Yarrowia lipolytica: one gene and its partner. The main gene of each other region encodes a partner of the protein of the gene in region 2 in a complex. Links are inferred from orthologs where the notes say so. Each region holds a gene or a part of one and is shown on either strand. Other genes may lie near its edges. The genes, in order: YALI1_E05972g and YALI1_C29983g.

Region 1 (11,168 bases), on a different chromosome or scaffold from region 2:
TGTCGAGCATGTTTCACATAATCGTCAAAGACCTTAGCGAGATCAACAGGAGTAGTTTTGGACTCAATCTCCTCAGGATACAGATCGGTCTCCCTGGATCGAGGCATATGTTCTGTGAGACAGAAAACGTCGAATTTCTTGTCCTTGGCTGCCTGGACACATTCTTCAAGACTATCCTTAGCGTGTTGGACGTACTGTCCCGAGTGCGAGTGGTGAGAGTGCATGTTGGTGGTTGAGAAGAATGTCAATCACTGCTTGTCGAGGCACCACTGTGGTTATCGTGAGATGCATGCAATTAGGCTTTTGATAGTGACAACGGGAAAAAAAGACTTGTGTAGCTAACCGAAGGTCATATGGGTCATAGGCGAGGATTTCGAACAATGTAGCTCCAGGAATCACTTCTTGAAGACTGGAGGAGCGTAAAAGATCGTTTCCGTGCGCATTCGCATCATGAGGGTGTTTTAAAGAGTGCTGTTGTGCCTTCAATAGCCGCCAGTAGTCATAAGCAAATACAAGAATCGGATTCCAATCAATTATTTTAATACTTACAGCCATGTCGTTACAATGCATTTTTATTACCTATAAATATGTTGATTTGATGCTGTTTTTTTTGAGGCGGTTCACAGTGAGTCAAGAAGAGACTGTTGGTGTATCTTGTCGAGCATTCTTTAATGCACTGAATGCTGGCAACTGGGGCGTATGTGCTGTAGTAGAGCACATCCTTTCTTTACAGCCGAGCAGACCTTTCATAACTCGACAGTGTATGGGTTCTACTCCTCCGCTCCAACAGGCTCGGGAATGTCTGTGAAGGAGACCTTGTGGGTGACAATCTCAATGAGATCTACCTGATGCCGGTTTTCGGGGTCCATTTTGAGCAGCCCCAGAGGCTTGTCGAGCTTCTTTATCGATCCTCGCATTCGCTGTTTCCCGTCAATCACCAGAGTGGCTTTTTTCTCTTCAAATTCAATGGATCCAACGCGTCTTGATCCCTCCTGCAAATGTGCCTTACTGACCACTTCTCCCTGGATTTCCACAATGGCCATTCCCGATGGGGTCTGGATCATCTGAGGCACGGATTCCACATGGTCGTTTTGTCGTAAGTGGTCCAGAAATATGTTGGTCACGTTCATGTCAATGGTTGTCAAGTACACAGTGAGTGGATCTCTTAATTTAGCACGCACTGTAGACGCGCATTTGAGTTTGGGTGTGGAGAAGGGAGAAGAGCTCTAAAAAAGGTAGAGAGAGATGGTTAGGTGAATAAAGGGAGTGGCTGACGAGATGGGTGTAAGCGTAATCTTTGTATAAGACTGTTTACTATATACCGAGTGAATTTTTGCTTCAGAATCTCATTGTATCACCCCTTTAGTGGCTCTCAACCTCGTCTACTTTTTCGAACCTCTGAATATGCATGTCCCAGCGCAACTCTACGTGGGATAAATATCATCTCCACCAAAACAGTCATTATCCACCTCAACCCAGCCATCATAATGACGTCTCTGGCCAACCTGATATACGCACAGACTCTCTACAAGTACGCGATCGACAACAGCGTCAAATCGGTAGTCGTGTTACCAGATATCCCCCAACCTATCGCCGAGTACATGGCAACACAAGTTCCCAAACACCCATTGATTCAACCCGACATTCTCAGCATGACAGGAGGCCCTTCCTCGCTAACTGCCGCCCATTGTCAAAAGTGGTGGCGTCAGATGATCTCATCGACGAAAATTGCAGAAAAGGAACTCGCTCTGAGCAGTTTGGCCAAGTTGGTGGATGGATTCAGACATGTTTTGTACAACGAGACGGTGGCTGGTCTGAAAGCCGACGAGGTGAAATTCAAGCATCTGAAGGAGATGGAGCGGGATAAAAAGATTAAGGCCGAAACTGAGCGATTAGAGAAGGAAAGACTAGAGAAGGAGAGACTACAAAAGGAACAACAGGAAAAAGAACAACAGGCCAGACGGGAGGCACTAGAAGCTAGCAAAGAGCAGGAAGAGGCCTCAAAAGCTCAGCAATCAATGACGAAATCTGACGACGAGGACGTAGAGATGACTGACGCTGTGGAGGAATTGAAGGAGAACGAAAACAGCAGTAAGAAGGAGCAGGCTGAAGTTGAGACTACAGAGGCTGATGTGGAGTCAGTAAAGGTCAAGGAGGAAGAAAAGGACACTGAGGTCGAGACCGAAAAGAAGACAGTAGAGGCTGAGGCTGAGGCTGAGGCTGAGGCTGAGGCTGAGGCTGAGGCTGAAGAGCAGAATTACAAGGATGAAGAGGAGCAGGCTGATGGTGCAGAGGCAGATGTCGAGTCGGACGCGAGGGAGGCTGAGGAGTCGGGGTCCGACAAGGAAACGACTGCCGACGTGGAGACCGACCGTGGAGAGACAGAAGAACCCGATGAGAGCGAATTAGACCGGGTGACGGAAACTCCAGAGGCAGGAGCTACTCCTGGATCCGAGGAACGGACTCGAAAGCGAGCACGATCTACCACTGAAGACTCTGATTCGCGAAAGCGGTCGCGCCGAAACACCTCTGCTGCCCCTTCGGCCAACCGCAAGTTTCAGAACGTGGCTGGCAATCTGCTCTCGAACATCTCATCCAACAAATCTGCGTCTTTCTTCACACACCCTGTCAATCCCAACAGTGCGCCCAACTACTACGAGTTGATCTTTTCGCCGACGGACATCCGGACCATCAAGGCCCAGGTCAAGGACGGACGTATTTCATCCACTTCTGAGCTTGAACGTGAGGTCGCCAAGATGTTTGCCAACGCCATCATGTACAACCCTTGGGACTCTGATGTAAACCTGTGGGCTCGAGAGATGCAGCAGGAGACTGATGCTCTCTTGACCTTGTTTCGGGGAGCAGGTGGGGAGTAGAACATAATTACGATTGATAATGATTACAAATGTATAACACCATGTTTGCAGTTGCAACTAAAGTGGTGCAGCTATGAGTGGCACAGTCCAGTATGATCAGACTCCGGGCAGATGATGATAGTGATGCAGAATAAATACAATATCAAAGTACAACAAGGGCAACATCAAACACAATCATTGGGGTTGCACCGCCTCATCTAGTAACTCGAACAGGGATCAATTAATATGTACATTTTATCTCTTCTGCATAAGAGCAGCGTTCTGTTCCTGGAATCTCTGGCCGACTCGTTCAGAGTGCTTGAGGAACTTCTCGGAGCACTTCTCGAGACAAGACTCTTCTCGGGAAGACAGAGCCTTGGAGGTGAAGTCGTTGACACAGTCAGTGAAGCATCGCTGGACGAGAGAGGAGTAGAGCTGGGTTAGTATGTGTGGTGTGGTGTTGTGTTCTGTTCTGTTGTCGTGGTTGTCATCAAGAAATTTGGAATACTCACTCGCATGAAATCCTTCATCTGCTTCTGCTCGACGAGCTGCTGGAACTCCTGCTGTTCTCGGTTGTTCAATTGATCCATCTTGTGTTGTGATTTGGGTGACTGATGTGTGTGATTGTCTTGAGCAACAACGAATACTTTTCACTCCCAGGTGGAAAAGGGTATCACGTGTCGAGTTTATTTTCCAGAGAGGGGCGAGTGTGATTGGGCTGAAATATGGCGTTCAAAGGCTTTTCAGAGTCCCGTGAGCATATAATATCATTGTGCACTGTTGAAATAACTACATCTTCTCATTCTTCTGATATTTCGCCCTCAATGAACCGCTGCACTCCTATTGCCACTCATCACCAAATCTCGGTATGAACCTTGTAGAGTTCGGAGAAGCTGGGAGAATCACGGCTTCAAGAAGTCTCATAAACACGCAATTTGAGCGGTATTGAAAATCTAACATTTTAGTTGGACTCATCTTATCGCAAGTACCGACCAAAAAACTTGAAATTCTCGATTTTGCGCGCCGAAACATCATGTTCAACGCACCTTCTTATGCACTCTTTATCACGGTGATATAGTTGTTCAGTATTTCTACAAGTACAAGTTCTGGTAAAAACCTATAACCTTACCCAACTCCATCACACCCAGTGAAGAAATATGCCTCACTGAATCCTCAAACAAAACACCTTGACCAGCGAATATGTGGAATGTCCATCTTTAGAATACACAAACACACTCGTACAAGTACCGTACCAGCCACATACTTCAAATACACTTCTCTATCACAATATTCCCTTGCTTAAACACATTGCTACAAGGGTTAAACCACAGGGTGCCATCTTACAGTATATGTATCGTACAGTGGTTAAGATTAGTTTATCTCCGGATCATCAGAGTTAATCATACCCATAGATACAGCTGCGGAAAGGCGATTGTTATACAGCATGGCACATTATTACAAGAACCGTGTACATCCACACTAAATCCATCACACCCACTACTCATCAATAATTCGTTCAATGTCATAATATCATCTAAATCATACATAATTACTGGAGCTTGTTGATAACAGCCATGGTGAACTCGTCAGTAGTGGAGTTGCCGCCAAGATCGGGGGTTCGGACCTGGCCCTCAGCAAGAACGTCGTAGGTAGCCTTGGAGATGACGTCAGCGAAGTCATCGAGGTTGAGGTGTCGCAGAAGCATGGCGGAAGACAGAATCATGGCGGTGGGGTTAGCGGTACCTCGGCCCTTAATGTCAAGACCGACGTGTCGGCAACCGGGCTCGAAAACGGCGTGCTCGGTACCCAGGTTGACACCAGGGACGAGACCGGGGCCTCCAACAAGACCGGCACCAATGTTAGACAGAATGGTTCCGTAAAGGTTAGGGGTGACGAGAACGTCAAACTGCTGGGGCCAAGAGACGGCCTGCATGGAGGCGTTGTCGACAATCATGTCGCCGTACTGGATCTCGGGGTACTCGGCGGAGACCTCCTTACAGGTGTTTCGGAACAGACCATCGGCAAGCTTCATAATGTTGGCCTTGTGGATGGCAGTGACCTTGTGTCGGTTGTTCTTGAGAGCAAAGTCAAAGGCAAATCGGGCAATTCGCTCGGACTTTCGCTTGGTGATGACCTTGATGGACTCAACAACACCGGGGACAGGGGAGTGCTCCAGACCGGAGTACTCACCCTCAGTGTTCTCTCGGATCAGAGCCATGTCAATGCCGTCGAGTCGGGTCTGGACACCGGGGATGTTCTTGATGAGAACGAGAGAAGCAAAAATGTCGAGCTCTCGTCGCAGGGCAACGTTGAAAGAAGTGTGACCGTGCTTCTCAACGGGGGTGTGGAGGATACCCTTGATGGCAACCTTGTTTCGGTTGATGGATCGAATGGCCTCCTCGTAGCCGTCGAGATGGTTCTCGCCAACACCGGTGACATTGACAACCTCCCAGTCAATGGGGACGGAGATAGTCTTGAAGATGGTCTTGACAGCGTCAGTAATCTCGTTACCGATACCATCACCGGGGATGAGGGTGACGGTGTACTTGGATCCGTACTCCTTGGGCTGGAACATGGTTCGAGCGTTGGTAGCGAGGGTTCGCTTGGGGAGAGCCGAGGCGGCCTGGGTTAGTATGTTATCCTAATGTTTTGGTGTCGATGATAGTTATTGTGGTGTGCGGCAATTAACACAAAACACACCAGCAACAGCAGCGGCGTGCGACAACAACGTAAACAGGTGTCTTCGTATCCGCATCGCCTCAATTGTTCTCCATTCCCCTGTCCCCACACAGTGTGCTACTGCCCGCTACTATTTTTCTCCGTAGCACATGCAGGAAAAAAAATAGTGGAGGGAAAATAAATACACGCATAGATGTTCCGGGGGTGGTGGTGACGTGGACAGGACCAAAGTAGGAGACTGTGGAGCAATCGGCGCCGGAGTTGCGACATACACTAGCCATTGGTCTCAATGGCGTCTTCCCCTGCCCCGAGTCTCTGTCTGTGATGCTGTTGTTGTTTCCGAGAAAATGTTATGGGTTGTACACAGATGTCGTCGGTCATGTAGCGCGCATCGCTGTGCCATGGAGCGGTGCTTCCATTGCACCTTGAGTCACCTCCATTGACTCGCCCGGAGTACTCACCTTAGCCAGGTAGGCGGTTCGAAGCATTGTGGATGTGGATATGTTTTCGATTAGACGACAAGATGTTGCCAAAAGGTGTCCTAGTTAAAGAAGAGAGAGAGAGAGAGTTTTATGTGGGAGGATGCAAAAAAAGCTTTTACGAAATTAAGGACGGCGAGGTTTAAACACGGCGTCAGAGCGAAACCTCTATTTCGAAGGAGACAAGCTTGAAGAAGAGAGCTGCGCCAGGGGCATTAAAAAGAGTGTCTGGCACGTCACACTGGGCTCGTGGCGAGCCATTCGATATTCCTAGGCCATATACTACTTGGAAAACTTTTTCCTGCGGCTCCATCTGTACCCTGTCAGCTGCACCATACTCCGCCAAAAAATTTACATTGTTACATTCATTTACATGTACACGTTTCTCCCACATATCTCCATGCAAATCGGAAAAACAACATCCGTCCGGGTACCCGACCATAGAGGCTTTTATCCGCTTAGCTCCGAGCAGGGGGGATATGAATGGGGGCTTAAGGGGTGTCGAAATAATCGGTGGAGGTCGACCGGAACGTTCAAATTGACTAACGATGCCAATTGAGACGTCCAACGGTGTCTCATACTCACGGTTGCTCCAATAACCGCGTTCTTTTGTCTCGTCATACTTGCACCCTTGGCTCCTCTCTTTGCTCCCATCCAGCTTTGACTTCTTCTTTGACTTCGAAGTCTGCGTGTGTGCAGTGCCCATTGGCCAAAAGTAGGAAAAACCTTGCACCGAAACACGATCCGGAGCGACCCGGATAATGGATATTAGTGGGAGTTTGGGGAGCCGGTGAACTAGCTTTGATCTTGGGAACAACGTCTGCGCTAGCGGATATGGTTAGCACATTTCCACAATTCTAAGTGTCGATGACGCAGATGAGAATCGAACGCGCACACAGAATCCAAACCTTAAACAAAAACCACGGGTACAACAGCCCAAATTGAACTCGCGATATCAGGGCAGAATCAAACTACAAGTAGCACTATCAAAATCGTGATCCTGATCAGATCAACGGCATCAACAATATGTCGAAGTCCCTAAACCTTTACAGATCGCTCTATCGAGAGCTGTCAAAGCAGTATGTCGCTGCAATGACCGTCCACATCAACGGTGAGAACCAGCGAAACGAAGCCAAGGCGAAGTACGAGGCGATCCAGAAGAAAACTACACCCAAGGCCATTGAGAAGCTGCCCACACCCCGAACTTCACATTACAACAGTACTGCTCTCAGAGAGTACTTCACAAACGGAACCGGAGAGGCCGAACAGATCCAGCACGCCGAGGACATGCTGCTGTTTCTGGAGAACCAGCGAGTTTACAAGGACCTGCTGGCCCGATACAACCCTGGAGTGGATATGGCCGATCAGGAGAGAGTGCGACTTTCTGCCCGAAGAGTCGGACTGGAAGTGCCCGTTGGAAAGAAGGACTTTGAGGATTAATTGTATATAGCGTAGTAATGAGTAACGAGTCTAGACGACGAATTATTTGTACGAGTATACTACAGTGCTGATAATACATGAGGTTTCTCTGCAACCGCCTACTTGTAGTAATGACGATAAACACATGAATTTGATACACAAGGTGGTACTTGTGCATTGCAGTCTCATTCATTTGTGCATTTAATAAATAAATATCATCGTCTAGTCACATCTTCTCTTAGGCGGACTCGTAATGTCCACCGGCTACCATTGTAGCAATGAGACAGCCCCCGCTGTTAACAATTCATTTCCTCCCACTGGTCCCTTTGATAACTTCCTGGCGAGCTCTAACAGCAGACCAGAAACTGCCGTAGCTCCATGTCAGCTTCTCAGCTCCTTGCATGAACCCATCGTATCTATTGAATTGCTCCGACATATCTCCATTGTTAGCCTGATGCTCTCTGATGACATCCAAGAACGAGTCACCGAGGTCAACGAGACGGTCCAACAGATGCTGATACTCTTCGGAGTCTCTAGCAATGCGGTCAGAAGACACAAACGTACCATAAAACTCCTTGGTGAGACTATTGATCTCAAGAACAAAATCAGACGACTGCTGGGCCAAGTGGTGAGCAATGAAGAATATGGTCTCTGCAATGGTAGCGGTACAGATGAACCAAGGATTGCCATGAGAGGTTCCCACTCCATCGTAGACGTCCTCAGCATAACGACCAACACCAACGGCGACGTACCCAGGATTTTCATCCTGGAAAGACTCCTCGAACTCAGCTAATCGTTGATGATTAATAGGGTAGTCGAAGGAGTGCACATAAGGCATGATAGTAGCAATGAGAAGATCGTCGTAGGGCTTGAGAGATGTACCTGCAGCTATGCTAGACTCCCATCTAACCGAGTCAAGAGCGGCCAAGAATATGGAGGAATCAAGGCCCGACCTTCCAAAACTTCTGGGCTCAAATTGTGCATTCAGCCGAGAACCAGCCTCGAAATGTGTCTTGATGAATTGTCGAATCGATCCAGCAGTGAATGTACATCTGCTTTCGGTCTCTCGATCTGAGTAATGTCTTGCAAGTTCCACGACGTTAATGAGAGCGTTGAACTGCACTTGAGAAGTGAAGAGATGGTAGCCCTCCAGTTCCTCCCAGAGATCAAAAGTCGGCTGATCCCAATACTGTAGAATGTACTCGACATCGGGTAGGATCATAGACTTGTAGATATACACATAGTCGTCGAGAGAAGCTGTTTCATTCCACTCCACCTGGGTTTGAATATAATGCGAGATCGTTTTAATTCTGAGTGCAGGTCCATCATTCTGAGGTCTACCCCAGTGCCCTGTGAATGCTGAGCCGTCAGTCTCAAATTTAGGCTCTCCCAAACCACTAACAACACGTCTGTTCCAGTCAAAGTACCCGGAGGGATTGCTGACGTGCTGCAACATGCCTTGAGTCTCAATGTATCCCATGATGATGTTGCTGAGTGTGTCGTTCAGTATACCTTGACTAGCCTGGTCATAGAACCGCCGCACAACTGAGTCCATGGTGATGGCAGCATCCCGAGTCCATTGGTAATAGTAGTCAGGGGCCGTTTTAGAGGGACTAGCGATAACAACGCCTACGGGAAGACCGTTGTTGCTACCTTGGTGTCCCACATTGTCGAGGACAGACTCAAAGGCGTGATGAGTCTGCTGAGCGAGCCACAACTCGAATTTCTGGGCGTCAATGAGTGTCACGTTTGGTCTCGCGTATGGTGCCAGCAACAGAGGCTTCTGATCGAATAGCGGAAGCGCTAGAGACCCTGGAAGTGCTAAAACAGAAACAAACGCTTGTAGCAACATCGTCGGTATGTGTGTATGTGTGTGTGTGTGTGTGTGTGTGTGTGTGTGTGTAAGGATGAGAATAGCGCAATCAAGCCATTTATAGCAAAAGAGAGAAGGTGTAGGTACCTGCACAAGAAGAAAATCGTGCTTGTCGGAGAAAAGCAAAACTGTCACTTCTGCACCATGCGTTCGCGCTCTTGTTTTGTTGTGGTAGTATTTTTTAGCACTCACGGTTCTGCATTGAGATTTACCTCTTGCTGTGTGACCATCCTTCCGCATGACCTTGGTACGTGATAAAGTGTACCCGCTTGAGAGATGTACAAAGATGTACGGAGATATGATACGTGTGCCGGCCGCGCGTAACGTGACTATTAAGATAAGTATAATATTTTCGACTCTACAAGCACCAAAAACAGGTCACTCGTTCTAGTATTTTTTTACCACATTTCCCCAGCTTTTGCTTTCATTCTTTCATACCACTAACGTGAAGACCAAGGTTACATGTGTAGGGATATTATTGGCACTACTGTAAGAAGGACAAAGAAACCACAAGGGGGCCGATGCCCACGATGACCCTGTGGACGGAGTCCTCTTCTGGGATATGAGCTGTGTCATATGAGCTGTGTCAGGTGCTTCACGGTCCGTTGTCCTGTTATACGGAGATATGTGGGTGGGCCATGTACGGTAGAGAGGGGGTAATAGCATGTAGTAAGACACACACACAGAGAATGTCACATGACCTACGATACGAGTACGAGAACACATACATACAAGTGCAAGGTACTACTGTATTCGTACATACAAAGTCTGGTAGAGTATGTACCGGTTTGTACGAATGTGAGAGTGTACTATAAGGGGCTGAGAATAGTGGCAATGAAAGTGGGGCTGGAAACAATGAGCAGGACCATTCAGAAAAATCGGGATTACATAATACAATACAAGTACAGTACAGTACTTGTACTTGTACTGTACTGTTGCAGTAATTCATGAAGGTAGCGAGATTATTAAGCACGTACTTCATCATTTGGACGAGCCACGAGAGATATTTTATACGACAAAGACGAATTCGAGGTAGAATACTGGAACGGCGGGAATCAGTCAAGACCCGTACATGTACTGAAGTCGAACGACTTGAAAACTTGTATACACAGTAATTGTTCATAGTGGGATGTCGAGGTCCACATAAATTTCTTAATAGTGAACTCTAATTTTGTGAGGCAAAATTTATAGATAGTGTAGCCAGATCATCACAATATCAGAGGAATTGAAAATGATACAGTTGTCCAATGCTATTGTCAAATAGTTACCATTTACAATCTGCTTTCCTTGAATAAGTCCTACATCCGCAGTCTTCGCGATTCCTCTATCAGCACAATAACCTAACCCTGCAGCTCATCTGCAAAGCCTGAAAAAATCTGGTGCTCGAAAATATCTTTATTCAAACCCACGATACATACACACCAGCATGGCCAGCGACAAAAAGAGAAAGGCTTCGAGCAAGCGGCTGACGAAAATCAAGGTCGCTAAGGTTCAGGACGATGGAAAGGTGTTTCTTTCTGACTGCGGTCATTTGTCCATCCCTAAGGACGCCAAGTTCTCGTCCGTGTCTGACAATGGAGAGACCTCCATCAAGGGAAAAAGCTCCCGAATGCGATACACCAGTGTGCCTGTGGACCACGAGAAGTACTGCGTTGCCGTAATTTCCTCTAAGGGCTTGGCTGATCTGGTCCCCGCCGAAAGCATTGAGCTGAAGGCCATGTCCAAGCAACTAGCCAAGAGAGTCGCTGAGAACACCGAGCAGAAGTCCTACAGAGAACAGCGAGTCAACCTGGGTAACGAGTTTGGAACTCTCAAGGCAAAGAAGACCCTTGCCAGTTTGGCCCGAAACAACATTGATTCCAA
Region 2 (11,647 bases):
TCCGTCCACCTCGAGCTCGTATTGTCGGACAAACAGCAGATCGGTGCCAATTTTCCGCAGGTCCTGCTTCTCCACCGGTGTTGCCGAGCTATGGCTGAGCACTCGCGCTCGCTCGAGGTTCTTGTCGGCCTTTAACCGCTGCAGACCGAGCACAAACGCATCTCCATCGTCGTATAGTGTCGACAGCTCGTTGATCTGGTATCCGGAGTCGTCGTCCAGGGCTGTGTAAATCTCTTCCGTGTCAACAGCGGCCTTTCGGGCCAGTTCTGAGGCTGTTTGGCCGAGATTTGACAAGATGGTGTTCATATTGGGGTGCTGGGCAGGTGTAGAGAGATAGTCTGCTTACGTGGTGATCTAGAGTTGGGGTTTTAGGTGGTGGAGTTTATTTTATTTGATGAGAGTGAAATTGTGAAGCGATAGAAGACGACTTTGTACTAGGATATGTGGGCGTTTTATATGGATAATATTGAAGATGGTTTAGTAATCATAGTCATATTAATTGCTAGTGGAATTTTTCCATTCAAAACGCCCCGAAACAGAGTGTCAAAAGCGAAATCACTTCTTTAAGTAATTTGAACAGAAGTAATCAACCCCCGGCTTTCTTTTACTTGGAATTGTTCTCATTTACCATTGCGACCAGAAATAGCCCCAAAAACGAACGGGAGACTTGCAATCACTTTTATGTTCCAAGTTTAACATTACTGAGCTCGTAAATGCTCCCTGAAACTTCCCCCGCCCCCATTTTAACGCCTCCGCCCTTCACTCGATCACGTCCGTCGCGTCAAACAAAGTTCATGCAGGTAGATGCGAAATAATGAACAACATAAACAAGTGAAAAAACGTCCGATAGCAACATCTTGGAAAACGGCACAAAACAACTGGTTTTTCTCACACGAGCGCCACCATGTCGGGACTGCGCATCCAGATAAATTACATCGACTATGTAATGGCTCCTCCGGGGCCGCTGGACTGGTCCAAGGTGCCTGAAACGGTATCTTGCGAATGCGACTACAAAGATCTACACCGGGTTCCAGTGCTGCGGATATTTGGAGGCACCTCGGACGGTCTTTCGTCTTGCGCACATGTGCACAACGTCTTCCAATACTTTTACATACCCTACACCGGTCCTTCCTTAAGTCCGGCGGATTCGGAGCCGTTCATAGCAGACATGTATCGCCGAATCAACCTGCAACTCCGTTCCAAGAGGACACGTGGCGAGAAGTTACCCGAGGAGTGTAGTTTTCTGGCCAACATTGTGCTATGCAAAGCTACACCATTCTACGGATACCATGAGGGATGGAGATACTACCTGAAGATCGTGGTGGTGGACCCTAGTCATGTTGGAATGCTGGTGGACATGTTCAGGAACGGTGTGTTTGGATGGGACCACTCGCGTGTGTTTGAGAGCCACTTGTCTTACATTTTGCAATTCTTTTGCGACTACAATTTGCATGGTTGTGGATGGATGGAGGCGTCCAGGTACATGATGAGAAGGGAAGGTATGATCTCCAAGTCGGAGTTTGAGGTTGACTTGCAGGCCGAATACATCTTAAACCGACTGGTGATTTCGACCAACAAGAAGCCAGGGGACAAGGCGTTCCATTCACTGAAAGAGCTGTGGACGAGCTTACAGAGCATTAGAGACAAGTTCAGCAAAGGCGAGTACAAGAGTGACTATGGAGAAAGGACTGTAAATGACCCGCGGGAGCAGTGGTTTTCAGCCCAGTCCATGTTCTCGGAGTTGGAGGAGAAGGTGAGCAAGGCAGACTCGGCCCATTCATACGTGCAGTTCTGGCCCAAAAGGCCATACGACAATCTCGTTCCCACAGCGTTTGAAACGACAAAATGCATGTTCAAGGGAGAGGGTGCCTCAGAAGTGGACAGTTTTGTGTTTGATGTGTCCTTTGACGATCTTCCTTCCATGTCCCAGGAAAAGAGAAGCAGTGCAACAAGAAAACACAGTTCCACTCCTCCCCCATCAACCAGGAAACAAAAGGGACTCAACTTCAAGGTGACCAAACCCAAGTTTGATGTTCCAAATACTGCAAAGACGAGTACTGCTGTTGCTACTGCTACTTTAACTACAACAGTCTACACTTTCAAGCCACCTCCATCGCGTGGACTGTGTATTACCGATTTAGACGACAACAACATGGCACAGAAAGTCTACCCAAAGCCGCACTACTCACGTGATTCAGACGTCCCCACAAAAACAATGACACACGGAGGCGTCACTTTTCGAATTCTGGGGTCTTCCGTAAAGTATCTACCAACGGGATTCCCCGAAAAGCCCTCAAACTATGCTCTTAAGGGCGTTGTTGAGCTGGCAAAGTCTCCTCCATCGCGTGATGACGTACTCAAGTGGATAGGAAAGACTACCAACAATGCTGATCTGTTTCTGTCCCAGATAGCGCCTCCTACCCAGAAGCCCAAGTACTCTTTCCCCAGTCAAAACACACTCTCCCAGCGACACGAGTCGGCTGCTTTAACGGTCATGAGCATGGAGGTTCATGTGAACACTCGAAAAGGTCTCAATCCAGACCCAGATCTTGACCCAATCCTGTTCGTTGTCTGGCACATGTTGGGTGGTCCCAGTGGAGTGATTATCAACGCCGAGGATTGCCCAGACTTCACAAACATCATCGAAGCACCTTCCACTGTCGTCAAAACAGAGTGTGAAATGATCACTCATCTTCAGAAAATGGTGGAGAACTTTGATCCTGACATTCTGACTGGCTTTGAAGTCCAAGCTTCTTCCTGGGGCTATGTTCAAGACCGTTGCAAGACCATGTTGTACCCATGTGAATTTGGAAGGGTTCAGCATCATAAGATGAGCTCGAAAATTGACACTTGGGGCGCACGAAAGGCTTCTGGAGTCAAAGTAGTTGGCCGTCATGTGCTCAACTTGTGGCGTATGATTCGTGGGGAGGTTTCTTTGTTGAAATACACGCTTGAGAATGTCGTCTTCCACGTTCTACACGAACGCATTCCCTTCTACACACACGATACGCTCACAGAAATGTGTGTGGGCAGTCTGTCTGACCGGAAATTACTTGTGGAGTACAAATGCACGCGGTCCAATTACAATCTGCAGCTCTTGAGCACTCTGGAGATTGTTTCACGAACAGCTGAGCAGGCTCGAGTGGTGGGAATCGACTTTTCGTCCGTCTACACCCGCGGCAGTCAGTACAAAGTCGAGTCGTTTCTTGCTCGCCTGACAAAAAGTGAGAACTTCATGCTGGCAAGCCCCAGTAGAGAACAGGTTGGTCAGCAGAATGCCCTGGAGTGCATTGCTTTGGTAATGGAGCCCGAATCTCGACTTTATACGAGCCCCGTTCTTGTTCTGGACTTTCAGTCTCTTTATCCTTCCGTCATCTTAGCCCACAATTACTGCTACTCCACCTGTTTGGGCAAATGGACTGATTTTGAAAAGGACGGAAACACTTTGGGAACGGAGAAACTGTTCTACAAGCCGTCTTTGGTAAAACGGTTGCTGACTAAAGACGATGTGACCATCTCTCCAAATGGCCTGGTGTTTGTGAAACCCCATATTCGAGTTTCTCTGTTAGCTCGAATGCTGGGTGAGATTCTGGAGACCAGATTCATGGTCAAGGATACTGCCAAGCTCGATAGAGACAATGTGTCGTTCCAGAGACTCAACCATAACCGACAGCTTGCTCTGAAGCTCGTGGCCAACGTCACATATGGATACACTTCTGCCTCCTTCTCTGGACGTATGCCCTGTGCCGAAATCGCTGACGCAATAGTTCAAAGTGGACGTGAGACGCTCGAAAAGTGCATTGACGTGATCCATGGATCGGACAAATGGGCAGCCAAGGTCGTCTACGGCGATACAGACTCGTTGTTTGTATGTCTACCTGGTCGTACCAAGGATGAAGCATTCAAGATTGGTACTGAGATCGCTGATACCATAACATCTGCCAATCCAGCACCCATGAAATTGCAGTTTGAAAAGGTCTATCTTCCTTGCATGCTCATATCCAAGAAGCGATACGTGGGCTACAAGTGGGAGTACTCGAAGCAGATGTATCCCATTTTCGACGCCAAGGGAATCGAAACTGTGCGACGAGACGGCACCCCTGCTGCCCAGAAGATTGAGGAGAAGGCTCTTCGTATCTTGTTTGACACTGCTGATTTATCTCTGGTCAAATCGTACCTCTACGAGCAGTGGACGAAGATTCTAACTGGTAAGGTCTCGATTCAGGACTTTTGTTTTGCCAAGGAAGTCAAGTTAGGCCAGTACAAGGAAGGGGGAGTGTTGCCCGCGGGTGCGAAGATCTCGGCTGAGAAAATGGCAGTCGACATGCGCTTTGAACCCCAGTACAAGGAACGTATCCCATATGTGGTTGTTGCTGGTCCTCCCAAAAGTCGGCTGATTGACCGATGTGTTTCTCCTGAAGAACTAGTCAGGAACGCCAACTCTCTCATTCTCGACGCCGACTACTACATTCACAAGACTCTGATTCCCCCTCTGGATCGGTTCTTTAACTGTGTGGGTGCTTCTGTTCTCAAGTGGTACGAGGAGATGCCCAAGAAGCGGCGGTACGAGTTTTACCAGACTGTTTCTCGAGCAAAGACCAACCAAACCACGCTCAAGTCGTACGCTGTGTCCAACTCGTGCATCGTCTGCAAGACTGCCCAGACGTCTGGCTTGTCTAAACTTTGCGCCACGTGCGAGAGTGATCCTGGTCATGCAACATTCGTGCTTAACTCCGATCTGAGGTACAGGGAGAAGCGGCTGGATGAGCTCAACACAATCTGCGCGCAGTGCTCAGGCGACTTTGAGACTAGGTGCGAGTCTCAGGACTGTCCTATTTACTACTCACGGGTCAAGGCAGTGAGTAAGGCGGAAGATGCAAGTGAGAGGCTAGTGGAGTGGACTGAGGGGCTGGAGTGGTGATGCAACGATGGAGAACTTATTTATTTGTATTGTAATATATTTATTTATAACTGCGCTGGTTGCCGTGTGTGCCTTCTGTACCACAGTCGAACCCTGGGTGAAGCGCCAAAGTGTTTCTGTAGTTGTGCCAGTATCAGCGTCTGTCCTACCAGTAGCTCGCGTCTTGACTCTAGTCCGTGGATGTCACCAAGTACAAAGAATCTAGAAGCACGGCGCCAACCCTCATTGGTGACACGAGGGGCTTCTTCTGCGATAATGGCCCTTCCTCACGAGCTCGCTATTCATAATTGCTTAGCAATATCCTGGGCGAGGAAACAGACACCTTCTGTTTCTCCCATTCCGAGTGGTAGGGTCTGCGAGGATATCCCTTTTCTCAGCTTCCCTTTTCTCAGCTTCCGAACACTTTCTGAACCAGTTCTGGGACGAAACTGCGATGTTGAACGCGTCATTGGCGCCACAGGCGATGATGGACCCGTTGAATGGACTACTGTACTTGAAGTAGCAGGGCAAAGGATATCTGCATGCTGTTCACTGCATCAGACCAACGCCTACTTTCAATCAATGCTTCATTATCTATATATATCCTTAGTCCTTCCTTCACTGCAATAGCACTGGCCAGTGTCTTTTGTTTTGCATGTACTTGCACTCACTTCACTGGTTACTCCTCCAACAAGACCATCACCTTTGCGCAAAACGCCTCCAGATGAAAGATATACTTCGCACCCAGCTTCAACCGATGCTCGTAGGTGGCTGCGGCAGAAATCAACGGCACCCTCAGATTGGCAGGCACCACCGGAATCAGTCTGTAGGTGAGCTCCTTGAGAATCGTCGAGGGAGGAATGCAATGGGAGAGCAGCTCATAAAAGAGCGATCTGATGGCCAACAGAGTGGCTGGGGTTCGAGATGACACGAGTTCTCGGGCAATACGGCCAATGACCATTTCCCAGTCAGGAGTAGGAATTGGAGTGTTTTCCGACACCGTTTTGGAGCCTGCAAAGGTGTACAGAGTCTCCAGAGTCAATAGAGCCTTCCGCAGGTTCCGGTCGCTATGCGAAGCAATCTTTTCCAGGGTTTTGGTGTTCTCAAGATCCACATGTTCCTTGGCAGCCACTTTTTCCAGTACGTTGACAATGTCCTGCTCGGTAGGTGCAGCGACTCGCACCAGCAGGGTTCGCGACCTGATGGGTGCAATGATATTGGAGGTGGAGTTAGTGAGCAGAATCAGTCGGATATTCTTTGTGTATTTTTCCATGGTTCGTCTGAGGGCAGCCTGGGCGTCACGAGACAGCGAGTCGGCCTCGTTGATGATCACCACCTTGAACCGTTGTTTGGCATTGAGGTCGACCTGCTGAGTTTCAGCAGTTTCCTTGAGCAATTGCTGGATCACAAGACGGTCATTGTTGCCCATGTCGGACGGCGTCACTTCAAGATGGTAAGCCGAGCAAATGACGCCGAGCTCGAGTTCTCGCTTCGACGGCGTCACGAACTTGTGGGACTTGGTGCTGATTTTCTCCACGCTGGGGCCGTAGAGCTTTTTGAGCAGTCCCATGACTCGGGTCTTCTTGCCTGCTCCCGACGGTCCGTAGACGAGAAGATGAGGCAGATCGCCTGTCGCGGCAAGCGCGGAAAACCGCTCGGAGATGTCCTGGTGGTAATCCACGTGATCGAGGGACTTGGGACGGTGTTTATCTACCCAGAGAGACATGTTTTGGGGTTGATGTGGTGATGGAGAAAATGGGACATGTAGAGACGCGTGTAAAAGTGATTTGGCGTTTAGAGTTTGCCAGTTGTAGAGATTGATGGAGGATACAAGGGTGTTGAGAAGTCGGTATTCGGGGAAATATACCAATATAAGATGTCGTAGAAGGAGTGTGAATGGGTTGATGAATATTTAGAAAAAAAAACCAGTCAGATTTGATTGCAGTTGTACGGATTTTAGGAAAATACACACTACTGGGTAAAAGCTTAACAATAACTTGTGCTTGAGTCAACCAAGTCTAACTAAAGTGAAGAGCCCACCGAAAGGGCATTTACTATAGAGAGGAGAGTTTGATTTCCACTCAATTCCACTCAATTCCGCTTTAGTTCACATCATTAACACACATCATTGTCATCCATCTCCGTGTCGTTTTATTCTAACCCCATTTTTTCCTCCGAGTAATTATCCTCCCGCGTAAAATTCAGAACGGGATTTTCCACGCTCTTGTGGGTCGAGAAAACCCAATTTTCACAATCTGTCCGATATAGTGTAGGGGTTATCACTTCCGCCTTTCACGCGGAGAACCCGGGTTCGATTCCCGGTATCGGAGTGTCTTGTTTTTTTGCGTTTCCGACCCCCACCACGTCTGTGGTGCTTGCTGTCATTTTCACGTACATTTCTCTTGCTTGTCCTGCATCTCAGCATTCCATGCAAGGCTGAGTTTAGGTTGTCGTATTTCAGAAACTGTATCAAGTGAACGAATGAGGTGAAGAGATGAGGTGAAGAGATGAAGGAGAGACAATATTTGTAGCAATGAGGGCAATAATCAACAATTATTCGGGTTAATCACGTGGTACACTCCTGATTACCTTGTCCCCACGCCCTTGTCTTCCCTGATGCTTCCTGGATACCGTTAGCCCATGGTCATACCATTCATAGCCAACCGTCAACGTCTCTTGTCCAAGCTGAAGGAGGCTGATATTTGCGTCCGAAAGGTGAGCCATCGCGTTTCAAGCAGTTCCAAGTGGCTTTTCGAGCCCAAGAAGTAAGCCTTGAAGTAAAAGCCCTGTCAATAGACTCGTATCATAGTACAAGGCTTAGCTACAGATGTTCAGCAAGGGGTAATGGCTTGGTTACACGCCCAGCAAGGCTCAGCACTCCGCAGCAGACTCCACAAGGCTCAGCAAGCTCTACCAAGCCCAGCAAGGAGTTGTGTATGTGCCAGACTCAGCAGGATACGGTCAGCCAGGGGGTGCTCAGATGATGATGCACGACCTGTTCTCCTTCTTTTACCCGTACTTGTGCATCGTACTCGTAAATATTGGTCAGCTTCACGATCCGTCAGGTGGCTTGTGTCTCAGATCTATTGCTCGGGAGGGTCGATGGTTTGCAAAATTATTGGCGTTTGGGGAAATTATTAGGGGAAATTATCGGAGGAAATAATTCTATGGGCGCAAAGATTACTGCACTTTTGGCGATAGAGAGACCTCGGTGAAATAATAGTGGGTGGGTGCAAGTCTTGATCCAGTTGTGTACTTTGGCGGTTGTATCATGCTCGTCTAATTTTGTGCATGAGTGCATCTGGCACACAAGGGACCAACAAGTGATGACCCTTCTTCTGATACCCCGCTACACGAGGATCCAGAACCACGTTAGCAAGGTGAAACGGCCCTTTAGTGAGCGTCTATTGCTGTCGTGTTGGGAAATTAGTGTGTGACGTCACTAGACTGGATTAGTCGGCCGTCTGGGGTAAATTACACCCGCTTGGCTGCGTTAGCGCCGGTTTTTAGTTCCAACCCAGGAGCCAAAACACATGAGGTATTTCAGGTATTATAACCCTGGACGAGGGCTTGTGAACCCTGTCGATCTAAACAGTCTTGATTGTGGGAGGTGTTAGAGCCTCAGCCATAGATTGTTTCAGATGGGCAGTGTGGATTCTCTCCATCCTCGAGGTTGACTGTAGGCCTGTTTGGTGCCTGACAGGAGGTACAGTAAGGAGTATCCAGAATGTACAAGTAGCCTGGGCTGCGGACGGGCTAAGGAACAAGCACCGCTGGTGTCTATCGGGGGTGTGTGCCATCATGTGATGCACGCCATTGTGTTGATGTTCATTGTGGGTTGTGTTCCCGACAGGATCCACGCATCGGCCGTCGATCAACAGGGGGTTCCTGGTTGCTGAAACAGTTGTACCTGGGTGAGCTGTACAGTGTGGTGATGGACGGAGATTTATGCGGCTCCGATAGACAATCGAAGGTGCCATCACCAACGACTGGCCATAATAAGTGTCAGTGTGGTACGAGTACAGTAAGAGTACAGTACGTTGACTACCTGTTGCGCCTTGCACCGCCAACAAACAAGCTCCACAAAGCTCCAGAATGTGTGTACCTGTATCCCTAGCGCATTCCAGATTACCACTGGCGAATATCGTTTTACGTTCCATAATGAGATTGTACTTGTAGTATACACATTAGATTCGGGAGTTGTGAGCGTCTTGTTGCGGCCGTGTGTGGCGGAGGTGAAAAGAAAAAGAAAAAGAAAAAGAAAAAGAAAAATAGGTGACAGAGTGAGAATGCGGTGAGTGGCAGTCGCAGCTATGCACCCCCTGTTTCACCATGCAGGGGGCCGACGGCGATAAGTAGGGGTATGGAGCCGCTGGGGGTGTGTAGAAAAGCCAGCTGGAAGATGGCGACACAAGACACGTCCAAACAGCTTCGTCTCTGCGAAATTTTTCTTTTCTTGCTACAATTGAAACCTCCCTGACGGCGGTTTTGGTTCTACCGTGGGGCTCTTTGTTTGGGTTGGAACCTAGAGCGAAGTGCTAAAACTCTGTTGCCAGACACCTCCCGAAGCCTATCTAATTATAGTGGATGGCGGGAGGTATAACAGTGTGTTTGGGAGGGTGTTAGGGGGCCGCCAGAAGCGGTTTAAAGACGGAATATGGACATTGGCCGTCTTATAAAGCCCCTGGGAGCGGCCCCTTTCTCCCCCAACCAGCCAATATCCCGCTAGAACCCTCCCCACTCACCCGTCACACCATGTCTCACCCTGGCTAATATGGTTTCTGTCGCATTGACCACGCATGGCCACGGGCGAGACTAAAAGCGGAACTGAGAGAACGAGGATGGAGGTTGAATCGTGTGCAAAAGAGCAAAATTAAAGAATCGAAATTAATACCACCGGGTCTGGTGGTGTTGCAGACTGCTCTCGCCGGCTTGGTCACCCTCCACGTTCCGCTCTGAAGGTGTAACGTGGTTGCCACGGTGATGTCCACTCCCATACAGGCCCAAGTGTTTGTTTACAGAGTTTGATTGGACACGCGTGGCGTAGCAACGACTGTGGAGGCGGGACAGTGCCGGGCTCACGATGAGAACCGTTGCGGTGTCGACATCTCCATCCATCCACCAACCCCTGCAATTCATCAGCAATACCAACACACATCACTTCCTACTGCGGCCATACCGCTGTGCGCTGTTGTGTGCAAGTTTGACTTTAGACTGTATAGATAGGGGCTGCACAAACAAACATGACGTCTGTTTACTTCCCACCGTCCCAAATAAGCTTTGCACTACCCCTTTGCCAAAACGCCAGTGTTAAACACATCCTGGTCCTCCGTGATAGCTCCAACCGTAGGACGCTACTTTGTGAGGTTGGCTCGTGACTCGTTTCAGCATACTCACCTCCCCCCCAACGCACACACACTCAAACACAAACACATACCCCGTCTGTGTACACCCACAACCCCCTGGTACCCCACCATTCTACAGCTAGACCTGATCTGTACCCGCAGACCGGCTTGATACACAACAACTCCGCTACCATCGCCTCCAAAGAACATCATAACCAACCACGCATCCGCCATCGCACACAGGTACAGCACGCCCATGTCTCGACAAAAAAAATCGCGAGAAATCCGGTTCGGAGACTACATTCTGGGGTCGACTCTGGGCGAGGGAGAGTTTGGCAAGGTGAAAATCGGCTGGAGAAAGGACGGCAAGCAGCCCGAGCAGGTGGCCATCAAGCTCATCAAGCGCGAGACGGTGCCCCCAAACTCGAACCGCGAGGCCAAGGTGCATCGGGAGATTAACGCACTCAAAATCCTCACCCACCCCAACATTGTGCGGCTGGAGGAAGTCATTCAGAACGACAGATATATTGGAATAGTGCTGGAGTATGCGTCTGGCGGCGAGCTGTTTGACCACATTCTGACCCACAAGTACCTCAAGGAGGCCTCAGCCTGCCGCCTATTTGCACAACTCGTCTCAGGAGTCCACTACCTCCACTCCAAGGGTATTGTCCATAGAGACCTCAAGCTCGAAAACCTGCTGTTGGACAAACACAAAAACATCATCATCACGGACTTTGGCTTTGCCAACACCTTTTCAAGGGGCTCAGACGGCCACGTTTTCGATCTCATGGCCACATCCTGTGGCTCTCCCTGTTATGCTGCTCCAGAACTAGTGGTTTCGGACCAGAAATACACAGGCCGCAAGGTCGACGTATGGTCCTGCGGAGTCATTCTCTACGCCATGCTCTCTGGCTACCTGCCATACGACGATGACCCGGCCAACCCGGATTCGGACAACATCACCCAACTGTACAAGTACATCACCACGACGGCCCTCACGTTCCCCGAGTACGTGCCGCCGCTGCCACGGGACCTATTACGACGCATCTTGGTGCCGGACCCCCGAAAACGAATCTCGTTGAACGATGTCAGGTACCATTCGTGGCTGGCTCCCCATTCTCGTTTCCTGGCCATCACTCCTAAGGAATGGGAAGACGCAGTGGGCAAGGTGGCTGTCCCCGTCAAGACACACATGCCTCGATCCCACTCAGTCCAGCTTTCCTCTGGTGCTCCAGTCTTTGACTCACGACTCACAAAGCCCTCCGGAGTCAACATTCCCAACTTTTCGTACAATAATAGACATTCAGTTGGTGGAACGTACTCCAAGCCCATTCAGCGACAGGGGGAGTCTACCATTGGAGCAACTGTGTCCTCAAACACACCTGCAGGCCCAAGACCCATC

What was found.
Region 1: YALI1_C29983g (region 2) and YALI1_E05972g share a complex: the UniProt entries of both Saccharomyces cerevisiae proteins name them as parts of the CTF18-RFC complex. The link is inferred for Yarrowia lipolytica from reciprocal best matches to the Saccharomyces cerevisiae genes RFC5 and CTF8.

Annotation. Positions count from the first base shown.
Region 1 is NC_090774.1:596,111-607,278, forward strand, and holds YALI1_E05972g (uncharacterized protein), read right to left. Parts: upstream 1,131-11,168; coding exon 771-1,130; downstream 1-770. Other genes in the region: YALI1_E05963g (uncharacterized protein), read right to left, coding at 1-224; YALI1_E05975g (uncharacterized protein), read left to right, coding at 1,488-2,876; YALI1_E05994g (uncharacterized protein), read right to left, coding at 3,111-3,290, 3,368-3,445; YALI1_E06015g (uncharacterized protein), read right to left, coding at 4,405-5,478, 5,996-6,022; YALI1_E06028g (uncharacterized protein), read right to left, coding at 6,168-6,719; YALI1_E06031g (uncharacterized protein), read left to right, coding at 7,040-7,453; YALI1_E06056g (uncharacterized protein), read right to left, coding at 7,737-9,545; YALI1_E06065g (uncharacterized protein), read right to left, coding at 9,919-10,428; YALI1_E06068g (uncharacterized protein), read left to right, coding at 10,732-11,168. UniProt on the Saccharomyces cerevisiae protein: Essential for the fidelity of chromosome transmission. Required for the DNA replication block checkpoint.
Region 2 is NC_090772.1:2,991,722-3,003,368, forward strand, and holds YALI1_C29983g (uncharacterized protein), read right to left. Parts: upstream 6,627-11,647; coding exon 5,580-6,626; downstream 1-5,579. Other genes in the region: YALI1_C29920g (uncharacterized protein), read right to left, coding at 1-306; YALI1_C29926g (uncharacterized protein), read left to right, coding at 905-4,921; YALI1_C29968g (uncharacterized protein), read left to right, coding at 5,102-5,530; YALI1_C30007g (uncharacterized protein), read right to left, coding at 8,488-9,060; YALI1_C30022g (uncharacterized protein), read left to right, coding at 10,502-11,647. UniProt on the Saccharomyces cerevisiae protein: Component of ATP-dependent clamp loader (RFC and RFC-like) complexes for DNA clamps, such as the POL30/PCNA homotrimer and the checkpoint clamp DDC1:MEC3:RAD17 complex.